2 linked regions of the Nothobranchius furzeri genome follow. The protein of the gene in region 1 interacts with the protein of each later gene in a biochemical or structural test. Links are inferred from orthologs where the notes say so. Each region holds a gene or a part of one and is shown on either strand. Other genes may lie near its edges.

Region 1 (7,787 bases):
AACCAATCAGCGTCAAGTTAACGGAATGACGTTACCAGTAATGGAACTTCAAAATAAAAGCCCCACTTGACAAGTTTAAATTGTTTTAGAAAGAGAAACGAAAAATGTCGAATCATAAACTTATTTTTCCTAGTCATTTATATTAATTTTCGTGCCTTTTCTGGCCACCATATGAATGCTAAAATTACAGAAAAACTTGGTTGTTTAATTTGAAATTAATTTAATATCAGCTTCAACATGAACAATGTTTGCATTTATATTGTTGGATAATGAATTTTAATGAGTAAATTTCAAATTTTAACCCTTCTAAACCAAAATACAATGACCCCTTGAATTAGACACTGGCACACCTACATAAACTAGCAAGATTATGTTGGGTTGGGTTCCACATAAAACTCTGTATCTACCACATCATGGACACAACTGGGAAAAAGTAATGAAGTAGAATATTTTATTTAGGTAAAAACCAGATTTTAAATTGATTCATCAGACCTTAGCGACCATACTCAAAAGAAAAAAAAGCTGAACTAATATCACATGACAACCATCATAGAACTGCATTTTTGTAATCCAGGAGAGACTGTGGTGGAAACAGATTCAACCCAGTTTATTATTTTTTTTTTAATGATGGGGCACTTTCATTAGATAAAGAAAACTTACTTTTCATGTCAAAAAATATTTTTTCCCAAGTGGCTTTAATTAAATCAGTAAGATAGAAATATTGTCACTGGTTTTATGAAATCAAGACTACAAAAGCACTCAAAAACAGTTTGTATTTCTGTTTTACACCTCACATCAGCCATTTTAACCTTGGCCTCCTCCTTTTGAGCCCCAACGGTTTGATCTCAACACATTTTACTGTAAAACCACAAGCAAGTCTGTGAAACTTTAGCACTAAATGTAATGTTTGTGCTAGACAAGAAAAATCATTTTTAGTTTAGCAACAAAGAGCTGGAGAATTAAGTAGGGGCCATGGATACAATTAAAGCATTTAAGCTTTCTTCATGTGGACTCTTTTAGCTTGACGCAATCTGACTAGCTATACGGAAACATGTTTTTAGTCTTCATGACTGGTATGTGTAAAATGAAAAAACTAAAATACCTGACAACCTGTGGGGTTTTCTTCAAGAGATTAAATCACAGCAAAATAGAAAAAAAAAAAAAAACCTGGGAGGCAGAGGGTTTGTCAGCCACGCAACCAAATGCATTCAATCCAACAGTAAATCTGGAGAACGTCATCTGCTTACAGCATCTGTACCTCTTCAGTTAGACTTAGATCCTCTTTCACTTCCTGCCTGTAAAGGCTGCAACCACTAAACAACCAAACCCTCCCGCAGTTCGATTCAGAGAGTCCTTTTATTTAAATCAGAGGGGGCGACCGATCCCAGCTTTGGAGAGAGGGAGCCCACTTTTCATGGCCTTTAGTTGGCTTTGGCGCGGAGCTGCGCCCGCTTGCCCGTCACAGCCTGGAAGCCAGTCTTGATGCTGGCAACAGAGCAGCGGGAGTGGCACGTCTCACACTGCAGGAAATATAGACGAGTGTCCTTCTGCAGGATGGTCTCTGGAGAGCGGCAGGTGTGACAGGTTACGTATTCCTCTGCAGGAGCGAGAAGACTGGTATCAGTAGCAATACAACAACCAAGGTCCAAATCTAAAGCGTATGTCATTCAGTTATCGATTTGGGGGCATCATTCTAATGATATATGAGTGTGTGTGTACACAAGTGTAAAATTACAGTCAACTTAATAATAAACGAGAAAAAAGCCAAACTTACTGATATATCTTCTCAACACATTTTCTATCTGTTTCTGCTGAAATCTGCCCTTGATCACAAGCTGGTTGTTTCCATCTATCGAGCCGCTGATAACAGATAAGACCAAATAAAAACTCTTTTTGTTTTCAATGACAAAAACCATTTCTCAAACTTGTGAACACACACAACAAAAAACAAACCTTGTTCCCAGCTCAGCAAGTAGAAAAGCAAGGAGATGTTTAGGCTGACGATGCAACCTGCATCAGTGAAAGTACAACACTTAGAAAAGCCCCAGTAGAGTTCATTCAGAAGGGTTGGTTGCCAGGGAGACTCACAGTTTGCAGATGTCTGTGAAGTTGACAAAGGAGGTTTTCTTGGTTCCAACTCGGACCACCTGAGGTGGTTTCATCACAAACTTCCTCTTCTCTCCAGCCACCATGTCCGGGTTCTTCTCTCTCATGATGTTGAAAACTCTGTTTAGAAGCTGAAACAGAAACAGACATGAGATCTACCAGCCAAGCTTTACATTAACATTTACAGAACAACAACAAGAAAAGGTTGTTTTAAGAAGACAGAGCCGTATAAATAAGTGTAAGGGGCAGATATTAACAAATATCTACCTCATCATACGTGTAGTCTCTTTCTGAGCCGGCCCATGCAGGACCAGTGGAGGGGCTGAATGAAATCCCATCATTGTTTTTGCTCTCCTCATCCTCCAGTGCTACAAATAGAAAATAAACCCATTTTACACTAATATCCTATTGGTCCTTATGTTAAAGTAATTTCTGTAGTTTCAGTTTTTACCGTCATCTTTCTCCAAAAGCTCGCCCTCATCAAAATCTACTTTCTTTGTCTTCTTCTTTTTGGTGGGAAGCATCAAATCCAGACTGTCCTCCTCCGGGGCCTCCGTCTGCTCCCCTTCAATTTTAAGCTCCTGGTTTGGATCAGAAAATTATGAAATTTAATAATAATAATAACAATAATAAAGTATTGACAATGTGAGAAATATAAACTCCAGGGTCAGTAGGTGTAGAGAAGTAAAAAAGTGTGGCACTGACTGACCTTTAACCCCTCCTCTACATCATTATCAAAGACTTTCTTAGGTTTCTTCTTTTTTTTCTTCTGGTTGAAGAAGTTCAGGTCATTCAAATCATCTGACAGTTCTAAAGAAGACAAAGAAACCACAAAAAGCTTCAGACTGATGTAATTGTGTTGTAGGAGGAGTAACAAAGGGAAACGCCTGTCATCATTCTTACCTTTTTTCCTGCCTTCATCCTCATCTATATCCAGCTCCTTGTCGTCTCCAACCTCTGGCTCAGCCTCCTTCGCCTCCACCTCTTTAGCCTCCTCTCCTGCGACCCCTTCTCCTCCTTCCTCATCCAGCATGAAGGGCTTCTTTTTCTTTTTCTTCTTCTTGGTCATGTTGGGATCGAAAATCATCTAAAAGGGAAATGAAAAATGGGTTCAATGATACATGTGCAAATTTTATTTCACTTTAAATAAATATACTCTAAAATGTCAACCAGGAGTTAAATATTTTATTTATCTTCCTTAATCCATTCTGTAAAGAAACAAATAATGGGTCTAAAAACACGGTTGACCAAAACCAACACACAGACTAAAGCGAGAAAATGGCATGTCATAACATGACAAATTAACACAGCTAATGTAAAACGCAGTGTATTATTTGTGATAATTAGTTGAGAATAAACAAATCAGAGATGTCTACATGGATGGTTTACATCACGTCTTTCTTTATTAACTGTAATAAAGTGTCTACCAGAACATTTTTGCTGAGCTAATTCTCGCTAGCTCGTAGTTGCTAACATAAATCAACGGTTAGCCTCAGTTTCAAGAAGCTACTTAGCTAACTTAAGCCTTTGCTTGATTCTTAGATCTGTGACCATGAAGTTACTATGATGAATATAAATGTGAACTAGTGTGACAACCACAGCACGGACAATGTTTTCCTGTCAATATGACAACTCAGGCCGCTGTTCGCCCTGCTGCGGCCATGTGAGAGCTGCTGCTGCGGACAAGGAAAGAACTAGCTGTGCCGAGGCCCAAAGTCATCCTCAACACCGAGCTGGTCGGAAAATTCCCTTGAACAACAAAACAAACAGGGAAAAAACAACAGATCATGTAGGATAATCTACCTCGTCTCCGGACATGTTTGCCAGCCAAAAATCACAGAAGTCAGACCACTTCGAATCACTCGATTAGCTCCACACCTCTGCGCCGAAATATTTCTTGCATCAGCGTTGGTCCTCACTGCGCAGGCGTGAAGTCGCGTTACGCACTTACTTTGCGACACACGGCATGACACCTGAGTAGTGTTCAAGATCGACACTGTACGGCAAATAATTGTTACAAAACAGTGAATTAAAAAAAGTAAAAGCTTGTTATTAACTCTACGTTGTCTCCTATTTCATCACAGCTGAAGGCAGATGCGACAGTGGAGTTTTATGGGTATACGTTTTCTTCTCACGTTACTCTTAACAGGTGAACTACTTAATATATTTCATCCATCTATCGGTTTTCGTCTGCTTACGATAAATGACCTGCGTCTTTCAGAGTCAGAGGCCTCCATAGTGCTTTACACTACAGTGTATCATTCGTCCACACACACTCACACTTATCCCTTTGCAGTGTTAATTGTTATAATTTCATAAAGTATCTATTTTAAGTGACCAACTCTGAAATTGACATTTTGTCATATTTTTAACAGAAATTCTGGCATCCAAAGCTGCTAGAATAAAAGTTAATATTTGAGTTATTTTAGAGTATATACCCCAATAAAATGAGCCTATTTATAAATGCAATCCTAACTCGTCTTTAATTGTGTAAATTAGAGAAAAGGTCCAGTTACTACAGTCATGACACTTTATGAAACCTTTACTGGTTAAAAAAGGTTTTTTGTGTAAGTAGACACACATGAAAAATTTAAAACATTCAAAAACAGTAAAAATAATTGAAAACCTTTTAATGATTCTGCAAACAATATTCTCATTTGGATAAATAAAACATAGAAATGCAAACATGCTTGTCCATCTGTCCTTTTGCATTTCTTTTACTATGTAAAAACATACGTTGTGATTTCAAAAACCTAAATGATTTAAATGCAAAATGCAAATATTCTGGGTTGACTTTAATTCTATATTTTTTTATAAACCATCTTTCTACTGTTGCAATTAATATGGTGTGACAATAGTTTAATATATTTATCTTTTCTCTTTTAATGATATCGAATAAAAATAAAAAATAACCTCATGAGGACAAAAACAGACGGAGCAGGATCAAAGTATTAGGCCAGATGTCTCTCTTCGTAGCCGTGCAGTGTGATCTGTATTGTGACTTCGCCATGGTTGCATGCTTCACACTTTCAACTGAACCTCCCGGCAACAGCGGAATTACAGAATGACGTACAAAAGGGTGACACATTTGAGATATTTACACCAAATAGCAAGAACCACTGGTGAGAAAGCTTTCAAAGGGAGGGAGACGTCACAAAAAATGGCGACAGGAGGTAAAACAGGTAGAAACAAAACTGAGAGGTTCAAATTCTAGCAAACACACAGCTCCACAACTTCCTCACCCACTGTGTGTGTCAATCCCAAAAGCTACTTAAACAAAGCAAAGATTATTATTATTCTCAAAAAGAAAAAAGAAAAGAAATGAAACACTTTTTAGCAAATCAAATATCATAAACAAATGGGTTGGAAACAAATCTTTGAGGCTTTAGCTTCTAAGAAATTTCTCCTGTTCAGAAATTTAACAGAACACCAACTGTGCTTAAATGAACGCCCCTCCCACCAACCTGCTCCAGACTGGTTCCAGGACCAGTAAGGGGTAGTAATAGTAATTATCACAAGTAGGTGTTTTCTAACAGGTGAATTTGAGAGACTCTCGTTTGCACAGAAAACTTGCAGGTCTCTATGTTTTTTGGGGGGTAAAAAAAATAAAAGTACAGCATTGTGGCTTATTTGTAGTGTTCCACAAAGTCAACTCTCCTCAAACACACGGAAACACTCAAGGATCAACAGTTCATTTTCATCGTTTCCCCTCGTTTCATCCTCTCTGATGTCAGTACGATGTGAGTGATGCGGTGTTTGTTTACATGGCTTCAGCCCAACGCTGCAGGTCCTCCATGTCATCCTCGTCCTCCTCTTTCTTGGCTGTTTAAGAGAGGATGAGACATTAAGAGCTCTGAGGTGAAAAAAAGAAAGGGCTGCAATGCAAATAGAAACCAAAAATCACCGGGTCTGGATGGTAGTGAAGTCGAAGGCACATTGGGGAGAGGGACGGTCTCTGGTCCCCCGATCTCCAGCAGATTCTTGTCCAGCTCTTCCTGTTCCAGCTCATCTAGCTCTGCCAGCAACTCATCCTTTTGAGGAAAAATTATTAAAAGTCAGACTGATGCAAAGAAGTACAGTAAAGTTGTAGTTACTGGAACTTTCCATCGACGCGTAAGCCTCGTGTAACGTTTCTGAAGTCGATGGGTGTGTTTCCATCGGCTGCAAAGTGACGCATTTTGGACGCGTCCCAGAAGTGAACGGACAGGTCGTTACGCTTCGAATCGTTTAAAATTTTTTTAATTTTTTTTACGCACTACACTTCCAAAATGCGTCAAGCCCAGAGATGGGAAACTGTGGCATCAACAAGTCATCTCCATGTCGTGTTTTTGTTCTGCTCAGCAACAAAACCAGGTTCATTCACTGTGCTGACTAAAATCACCTGGTTTTGTTGCTGAGCAGAACAAAATATGGAGATGACTTGTTGATGCCACAGTTTCCCATCTCTGGTTAAGCCATTGAGTTTAGATCAGGCCAGACAGGAAGTCACACAGAAAAGCAGTGCAAAACAGCTGGACACTTTCAAAATAAAAGTCAAGTTTAGATTTCCAGTTGCTAGTACTAAAGTCCGTCACTACCTGTGAAACCTCCGTAGCCGAGGCAGACAGAACAGAAAATAAACCAAATCTTTTCAGACGCATGCTGCTTTCTATTCTTTCTATTTTGTTATCGCGTGAATTGTCGAAATCACGTGTGGTTCTGCAATTCTCCTGTGATCGTGGAACGCTTTTGCTGGCGTTTTGTGTCTTTAACGCTCCCGGTAAAACACGTCTATTACGTTACATGGCACCCATTTTTTAAAGTCAGTTGACAGAATTTGAGAAAGATAGTCAGAGGGTGCAGGGCACATTGTGATTAAAGCATTGATATTCAGACCCGATCAAAAGCGTCACTCACTTCATCAAATTCCTCCCCAAAGCCAACAGGTTTGGAGATGGCATCGGAGATTTCCTGGGCCAGCTCCTGCTGCTCCGTTATGTCCTGCATCAGGTCGTCCACCTTGTCAATGTCCCTAATGACAAAAGGAACGAGAACAAATGGAGGAGAAATGAAATCAAGCATGTGACCTAGGAGCAGGTGCATGAGCTGGGTTTTGGTTTCAAAGCAAACCAGACATTTTCTATCATAACCTTTTAGCAGACATGTTAATGACTTGTTCAGAAAGAGAGAGAGAGTAGCGTGAAGGTTAATGGTCAGTTATTTCTACAAAGACAGAAAACTGCTTCTATTCGGTAAAGCTGTGGTATTTCAGCTTATTTTTGCTCAGATACGATCTTCTTACATGTTTTCATGAGCCGACTTCATGGCCTTGGCAGCAAAGCCCATGTTCTTAAGCACTTCAGTGTTTGTGTTGGCATTCTCTAGAGCCTCCCTCTGGAACTCGATGGTCGACAGAGTGCCATCGATCTGAGCGAGCTGCTTCTCATACCTCTTCTTTCGTTTCAAAGCCTGCAGAGCCGCTGAAGAATGATTAAGAAAAAGGAGAGAAAAGGAATCAGGATGATGTGATTGTCAGGGGAATGTTTTTATTTTTAGTCGTGTTTTATGGCGATTTTCTATAGATGGCTAAAAAGGGAAACATAAGACATGCAATCTACCATCATTTGTATTTATAATTATTATCAGAGTTTTACAATAAAAGAGACTTCTAAAGAACAGAATAAAAACATTTTAATGATTAT
Region 2 (7,905 bases), on another chromosome or scaffold:
AAGTCTCTGCTAAAGTGTTAATAAAAACAGAATGTGACCAAGCTGATTCATACCGTTCCTGGTAGTTGTGTGAAGTCTTAAAGCCGAAACAAAGGCGTGATGTTCTATGAAGCAGGATGAGCTTACAGAGTAAACGTGGCTCATTTGTGTTCAAACCAAAAGCATAAAAAAAAGAGCGTTTGCTTTATATTTAGAGCATCTTTATTTTGTTGACAATATTTTACAGGGTCAGAGATTTACCCTTCACAGGTTTCCACAACACAGACTTCAGCTTTACAGCATGCGATGCTCCAAACGACGTCTACAGGTGAGCCGTTCACACAGAGGGCTTCTTTCATTTTACTCACAAACAACACGTTTATTATTCATAATTACTTTTTTTTTTCTTAAGACTTGTCTGTACAGCGACACGAGAAGACGTTCAGACTTTTCCAGCACAGAAACACAATCACAGATCTGGAGGGGAAAAATAACTTTATAGGGAGGTGTGAACGTGGCCGGAGGCACGGAATAAATAAGACGTTGAGTGTTGAACCACGGGGGGAGGGAGGGGTTCACTCAAACAGCAGGTCCTCGTCCGTCTCCTCCGTCAGCATGTTAGCCGGCTCAGCGATGGGACCGAGTGCAGCCAGCCGGGCGGCGATCTCCCGTTCTGTCCTTTCCCTGAGCTGCTTCTTTTTCTCCTGGATTTTCTTCAGCCTGGCACAGCGGAAAATAACAGGTACTGTAAATGTGAAGCTTCAGAATGGCCAAACTAAAGAGTAAGTCACCCCCCTACCAGAGCCTTACTCCACCCACACTTCTGGTTTCAAAAATGCACCAAAAGGAGGCGTTGCCTGATGGGGTGAGAGGGCGGGACTGCAGCCTGAACTGACTGGTTTTTTGGAGGAGGTGAGCAGCCCTGAGGCATCGGCTTGTGAGTTGCCAAGGCAACCGGTGCAGAGCCTGCTGGCGGCATAGCTTACCCAGAAATTCGGCTGGTATTAGACCCCACAGTGGTACCCTTTAACCAATAGCGATGGCTAACTAATTCAAATGGAATGCAGACTATTAACCTGAAGAGGGCGCTACACCAACAGTTTTAGGTTGAATATTTAAATAAGATGCACCAAAAACCAAAAATAATGATTACACATGACTCTTACAGTAGTTGACTTCCTAACCCATCAGATCCTTTTACTAATGGTTAAGGAATCCGATGCAGCTGCTCTCACCTGTAGAACTCCTCACGCTCCCTCTCATCCAGCTCTGTGATGATGTAGGTGAGAGTGCGATCAATCCTGGGAATAATCACTGCAACGGAGAGTAAAGATGGTTAAAAACACAAGCATCTGTAGATCTTTGAACAACTCGTTTGTTTACCGTGCTCAATGGCATTCACGCGGCGGTTAGTGATCTTAATGGCTTCGTCCAAGGTGACAAATGATGTCTGTTAAAAAAATATTAATTTTTATTCAAAATTAAATATATATATATATATATAGATATTTTGCAAATATGGCAGAAAAATACGCCTTAAAAGCCATAACAGCACCTGTAAGGAGGCCAACTCCACAAGCAGCTCAACAGCTCTAGCATAATTCCTCTTCAGCCGGGAGAGCTGTTCACCTCCTCGGGCTAGACCGGTGAGTTCATAACCTGACACACACACACACACAAACATGCTGAGCTTTCTGAGGTTCACAGACACTAATCCAAATATGATGCATGTCTGAAAAGTACAATTACACTACTTACTGTCTCCACCTTCTTGGTAGTGTTCAAACACTGGAAGGGTGACACCTGAAAAGACAAATTCAGCATGAATAGTTGTTTCCCATCAATTACAGTGATGATGATGATGATGATGATGGGAAGATTTTTCTGACCCGCCACATTATCCTTCTTGGCTCGAACCTTGACCTGGGCTTTGTTCACATTCTGGATTACAGTTGTGCTGAAAGAAGATGAAAAGTTGCTGCGCACGTCTAACAGACTCGATAAAACACGGCTGTAACATTGTCATTACTCTTACCTAAAGTCACCAGCTGCAAATTTGGCTTCAGCCAATGAGAAAGCTGCTTCTCTCATCACCTCTCCCATCTTAGTTTTAGTCTAAAAGAACAGAGAATAAAAGAAAATTCCATTATTAGGTGTTTTTCTATTATGTGAGAAATAATGCAAGATTTAAATAGTTGCTCTAGTTATTTTAGTGTCAAATTGGCTGGAGTGAAGAAAGAGAAGCAGCAATCATTAAATGTTCTGACTGACTTCAATAATTTTACGAAGGATCTGACGGAAGCGCATCGAGAGAGCGTCAGATTTCTTCTTGAGCAAACTGCGGCCAGTTTGAGCCCCTTTCAGTCGAGCCTTCATGATGGTCTGGGCCCTGCAAACACACAGATGACATTTATTTATAGATTCAGACCTGATGTGACTACACAACCACCTATTGTACATTTTTTAAAGTATTTGTCTAATTATTTTTCTCTGCATGGTTGGCCATCCTGAAAGACAGATACCCACTTTTCTTTTTTTACACATGAATATCTGAGTGAGTTTTTCCACATAAACAAACAGGTGACGTGCAGTCAGTTTGGCTTTAAAATTAGAACTAGACCTTCCTTGTGGCTTTCATGAAGCAGGTACAGACTCTGTTCACACTCAGATGTTAGAAACATCACATGACACAAAAATAGCGCTTCCTCTTTTAAACAGCAGACTCAAACTATGAATAAAATGTATCCGCAGTGCAGACGCGGTCCAATTAAGGTAAATAAATGCAGAAAATTAATTATCACGGCATCTGGAAAGCTAGAAAAATAATGTGACATTTAATGGGGGGGGGGGGGGGGCTAATTTGTTAGCCAAGAGAAAAGACGATACGATAAGAAAAGACGATACTTACATTCTAGACGGGAATATGTCGATCCTGTCCTTTCCAGACATGTTTTCGTCTTTATGTTGACCGATCTACTTCTACGCTTTAAACTTAAATATTTAACTTTACTTGTAACTATAACGAATCGTTTGAGGTTAATATAATATCTCAAAAAAGCTATAATTCGAGCAGGATTAGGTGAACGTAGCTAGCTAATGGTCGTGATCTTGTCCGTCCGTAATGATCAGCTGACCCCAAGTCATGTGACACAGCCGTGAATTTACACATGCGCAGAGAGGTACTCTCTATTAATTCTTTCCGGGGCAAAAAAAAATTGCACACCCATGAATGTGAGCTAACGGGTCTGAGAATTTCATCTAAAAGCAGCCGAAAGAAAACATAGAGAAGCATTTAAACACGCCCATCATAAAATTCCAACTTTATCATTCTGTAACTCCATGACACAGGTGAGTTTTCGCTGACAGAGAAGATATTTGAAGCGACGAAGAGACTGCTAGCTAAACGTGTAGCATTGGCAGCCGCATGTGATTTGGAAACCTTAGCCAGGAAGCTAACACCTTAAAATGTCTTTTTCTGCTTGTAATGAAACCGTATGTTATCTCTTAGCGTTTTATTCATTATCTATGTGCTATAATGTGCCTTACTACTAGTACTAATGTGCTGTAATATTTTATTGTCTGTTTTTAATTCCATATGTTCAAGCCAGTTTTTTGCTCTTAAAAAAAGTTGTGGACGTTGCATCATCCCATTCATTCCTAGACTAAAATTTTGAGGGGGGAAAAGCCTAAAACTACGAATCTTTTGAAGAACTGTTCTGAATTTTATTTATTTCAAACGGGTCAAATATTAATGCTGAAATGTGAATACTTGAAATGCTTGTTCTATGCAATAATCCCAACATTTTGCTTTCTGCACAGGGTTTTCTGCTAATGAGGGTGCTGATTGTATCAAGAGCCGTGCATTATTTATTCTTGATGACTTGTGCAAATATCAGTATTACATATTAAGTCTTTTTCTGTTTCTCTGAAGCCGCAGATTGTTAAGTTCAGATAAGGTGCTGTTGGCTGTTAACACCTTATTCTTCCTAATAACCCCCTCAAAGGGTTATTAACAAGTCTCCTGTAGAAGTGAATTGTGCTTATTAATATTGGAATGTTTTACTGGTGACATAATATTTCACACACTGTCAACAGATTAATACCAATAGAATAAAATCATCAAACATTCTCCATTAAACAAAGAACAACATAGAAAGGTCCATTGCAATTGAGGGAAATAATTTTGTTACAGATTAGTGGTGATAAAAAGTCAAATGTTCTTTGAAAGCTGAATCTCCAGTTTGGATTAAAGTGAATAAACCAGTAGCATCAATATGTGTTGGCGTTTAAATGAAAGTAAACTTGATCTCTTCAAACTGCTGCAAGTAAAATGTTGATCTTTGATGAAAGGTTTTTGGAGTAGATTTAGTTTTGTGGCTGCTCTGCCCATCCATGAACTCAAAAAACTTTATTAAAGTCAAATTTACAACAGCACTACAAAATATTACATATTTACATATTTTTCTGCTTTCACTCTTGAGAGGCTAGCGTTTTATGTATTATCAGAGTGACATCCAAATAGTTTGTTTAATGCTTATTTTTCAAACTAAATATGTACCCCCTTATTCTGTTCACATCTTCACAGCAATGCCGGGGCTTAGTTGTCGGTTCTATCAGCATCGCTTCCCTGAGGTGGAGGATGTGGTGATGGTGAACGTGAGGTCCATCGCTGAGATGGGAGCCTATGTCAGCCTTCTGGAGTACAACAACATCGAGGGCATGATCCTCCTGAGTGAGCTGTCCCGCAGACGTATTCGCTCCATCAACAAGCTCATCCGCATCGGTCGCAACGAATGTGTCGTCGTCATTCGAGTTGACAAAGAGAAAGGTGAGAGCTGCAACTTGAAACGTAACATTAACAGATAAAATTATCCATAAGATATTCTTGTTTTAAACACACTATAGAAGGGGTTTTCAATTATTTTCTGTCATATAAAATTATTTTATTTTTTTGCATAAGGGCTGCAGCTATCAAATATTTTCGTATTCGAGTATTCTATCGAATCATCCATCGATTAATGGAGTATTCTATTTGACGGCGTTTCAAGTGAAACGAGATTGTGGTCTGCTGCCAAAATAAAAACGCAAAATTATAAGAGGCTCAACAAAATATATTAAATTGGTGTTCCCTATTTCCCAGCTGATTTTTATAGTTAAATATTTTATGGAACAATTTTTTTTAGGTTTCTATTAATATCAGTAAAATATTCACAGTAGAATTATTCATTTCATTTACATGTTCAGTAGTAAGTTACTGGAAATGCTAATAACATTTCATTTGTACTTGTGGCGTGTGTCTCTTTATATATATATATTATTATTATTTATTTATTTTTTACAGGTTGGCAACGTAATCTAGTCTACATTGTGTTCAAATATGTAAGCGTTTGTGAATTACATGCTACAACGGCTTGCCATTGCGCTGCTGCGGTGTATGGAGCAGACTCGTAGCAACAACCAGACTCCAGGGAGCTGCAGCAGTTCTGCACCACACCGCTGTAGACATCCACACATAAACAGGATGGTGGAGGTTTTTCTTCCACTTGTGGAGTTTAGTCGCTCACAACCATCATGTTTTTTTCTGGACCACACTTGCTCATGAGAATGCTACCCGCTAGCTTAGCATTAGCAATTCTGCTCGTAGTTTATTCTTGACCCCAAACTTAGGACTGTTTCTGCCTTTTACAATGGTTTGTCTTTGCTGGTTTCTCTATTTTTCCTCCACAGCACCTAGATCACCACGTAGTGCACCAGTAAAATGTGTTCAGACCAGGGACATGCAGAGACCTTTGAAGGGGTGGGTGCTCAAATTCAAAAAGGGGGCACATAATAGGGATGCAACGATACCACTTTTTTCCAAACCGATACAATACCGATACTTGGATCAGAGTACTCGCCGATACCGATTACCAATACCGATACTTCTACCACACAAAAAAATGCAATGATTTGGAATACAGATTTTACTTTCTTCTCTGCTTTCAACAGGAAAAGACTGAGGTAGGTAAAAAGTAAAATATATGAATGGAAATATCACAAAACTAAAATATTAGGTGAACAGAAATGACAAGTTACAGTGAAGCCATTTTCAAGCAACTGCATTGGTATCTGTTAACTTTTACCGATACTGGTATTGGTATCTGTATCGATGCCGATACCGATACCAGTATTGTATCGGTGCTAGGGTTGTCACGATACTAAAATTTCAAACTCGATTCGATACTTGAAAATATTCGGTGCTCGATTTCGATACTATTTAAAAACACCAATTTATTGAACAAGTTTATTCAAAAAATAACATTCCTCAATTTATATTGCAAAAATTAAATGTTAAGAATTAAGTGTGTAAAGTGCTTAAACCTTTCAAGTATCAGCATTTTTTAAAACGTGCATACAAAAACTGGCGAAAGTTACTTTAAATCATGAATTGCCTCACTATATATACACTATTTGCAGAGTGATGTTTTGCTGCTTAAACTCTGTTTAAGGTGCATTTTTGTCATAAGATGTAATGCCATATGTTTTGTTCTGTACTTTTGAACAACTCTGTTGGTCAATAAAGGGAGAAAATGAATTTCTCCACAGTAGGACAGAGGTACATCTACCGGTAATCTTAATTAAAAACAGATTGGCGCACGGCAGAGACGTCATTAAAAGCGCCGGTTAATTAGCCGCGGCTAGTCTGTTTACGCCTAGAAATCCCAGACCCGCTCCAAACGAACAGGGGAATCATGTCAATGATTCCTAACAAAACCTTTCGACATTGAGATGTTTTGGTGCAGATAATGTCTTATTTCAAGGCTGCACCATAGGTGCCCGTCCGCACCCGTTATATGGATATATGCTGACGGCGATTCGCCGATGGATCTAAATACCCCGGGGAATCCAAGTAGCACCAAAGTTGTCAGCGTGAGTAAACAAACGTACTGCATGCTAGAAATTAAGTCCGGGTTGCAATAAACGGGAGTTTCCTTTAAGCACATAAGCGTGAATATACAACTATGTGTCGGACTTGGTATGCTAATTACGTTGGGCTGTGAAGCGCCTCCCAAATTCGCTGTTTATGTTTTTGTTTATTTATTTGGCAGACAAAACTTGGATCGGAGACAACTCACGTGGGAAATTACAATGTAGCCATGTGGCGTCTTCTTCTTCTGTTTGTCTGGGAGGCGGAGGCTGCTTTACGGCGTCTGGCTGTCGTGCGTGTCGGTTAGGGCTGCAACAACGAATCGATAAATTCGATGAAAATCGATTACTAAAAGCGTTGGCAACGAATTGCGTCATCGATTCGTTGTGTTGCGCAACTCTTCCAAAAGCCCCCTCCCGCCCGCCGTTGCGCGCAGACCGGTGGAGAGCCAGCAGGTGTTTGTAAGAGGAACATGGCAGAAGCAGCGAGACCCCCAAAAAGTAAAAACTTCTAAAGTTTGGGAGCATTTTCAGTTAAATCAGGCGAAGACATGCAACGTTTGTAGGTCAGACTTAGCATGGCATGGGGATACTACGGTGATGATGCAGCGTCTTAAACGCAAGCATGTCAGAATCATCAGCGAGGAAGGAGAGAGCTCGGTGTCCGGGTAAGTTAAAAACTTTTCAAAAGTGATTCACCCAAGCTCCGGATTATTACACAGGCTAGACATGCCCTAAGCTCGTAAAAAAAAGTATTTAAAATTGTAAGCGCGACGCTATTAGATATGCGGGGGGGGGGGGGGGGGGGGGGGACGACTCGCGCCGCTGCGAACCGGTTCCGCCGTCACATTCCCGCAGAAACTGGTTGATCACACCGGGGCCAGACTACTAACTTGTGGCTTTACAACCACAATGTCCTCAGAAGCGAAAACGCTTTTAAAAGGGAGGGAGGAGTCCTAACTGTTGCTGCAGGCGTGTTGTGTGAGAGTGCAGTTATATACTGGTTAATATATTTTTGGG

The links. The genes of interacting proteins can lie anywhere in the genome.
Region 2: the proteins of eif2s2 (region 1) and eif2s1b form a complex in vitro, tested with the Homo sapiens proteins (2 studies listed by BioGRID and IntAct). The link is inferred for Nothobranchius furzeri from reciprocal best matches to the Homo sapiens genes EIF2S2 and EIF2S1.

Annotation. Positions count from the first base shown.
Region 1 is NC_091755.1:32,893,023-32,900,809, reverse strand, and holds eif2s2 (eukaryotic translation initiation factor 2 subunit 2), read right to left. Parts: upstream 4,068-7,787; 5' UTR 3,925-4,067; coding exon 3,910-3,924; intron 3,194-3,909; coding exon 3,010-3,193; intron 2,917-3,009; coding exon 2,816-2,916; intron 2,688-2,815; coding exon 2,558-2,687; intron 2,475-2,557; coding exon 2,374-2,474; intron 2,238-2,373; coding exon 2,089-2,237; intron 2,011-2,088; coding exon 1,954-2,010; intron 1,861-1,953; coding exon 1,775-1,860; intron 1,598-1,774; coding exon 1,422-1,597; 3' UTR 435-1,421; downstream 1-434. Other genes in the region: charged multivesicular body protein 4b, read right to left, coding at 5,867-5,928, 6,011-6,137, 7,003-7,117, 7,388-7,565.
Region 2 is NC_091742.1:8,438,138-8,446,042, reverse strand, and holds the start of eif2s1b (eukaryotic translation initiation factor 2 subunit 1b), read left to right. Parts: upstream 1-3,162; 5' UTR 3,163-3,327; intron 3,328-4,564; 5' UTR 4,565-4,566; coding exon 4,567-4,807; intron 4,808-7,905. Other genes in the region: atp6v1d (V-type proton ATPase subunit D), read right to left, coding at 555-699, 1,215-1,293, 1,363-1,429, 1,535-1,638, 1,738-1,782, 1,869-1,936, 2,015-2,094, 2,251-2,368 and 1 more. UniProt on the Homo sapiens protein: Member of the eIF2 complex that functions in the early steps of protein synthesis by forming a ternary complex with GTP and initiator tRNA. This complex binds to a 40S ribosomal subunit, followed by mRNA binding to form a 43S pre-initiation complex (43S PIC).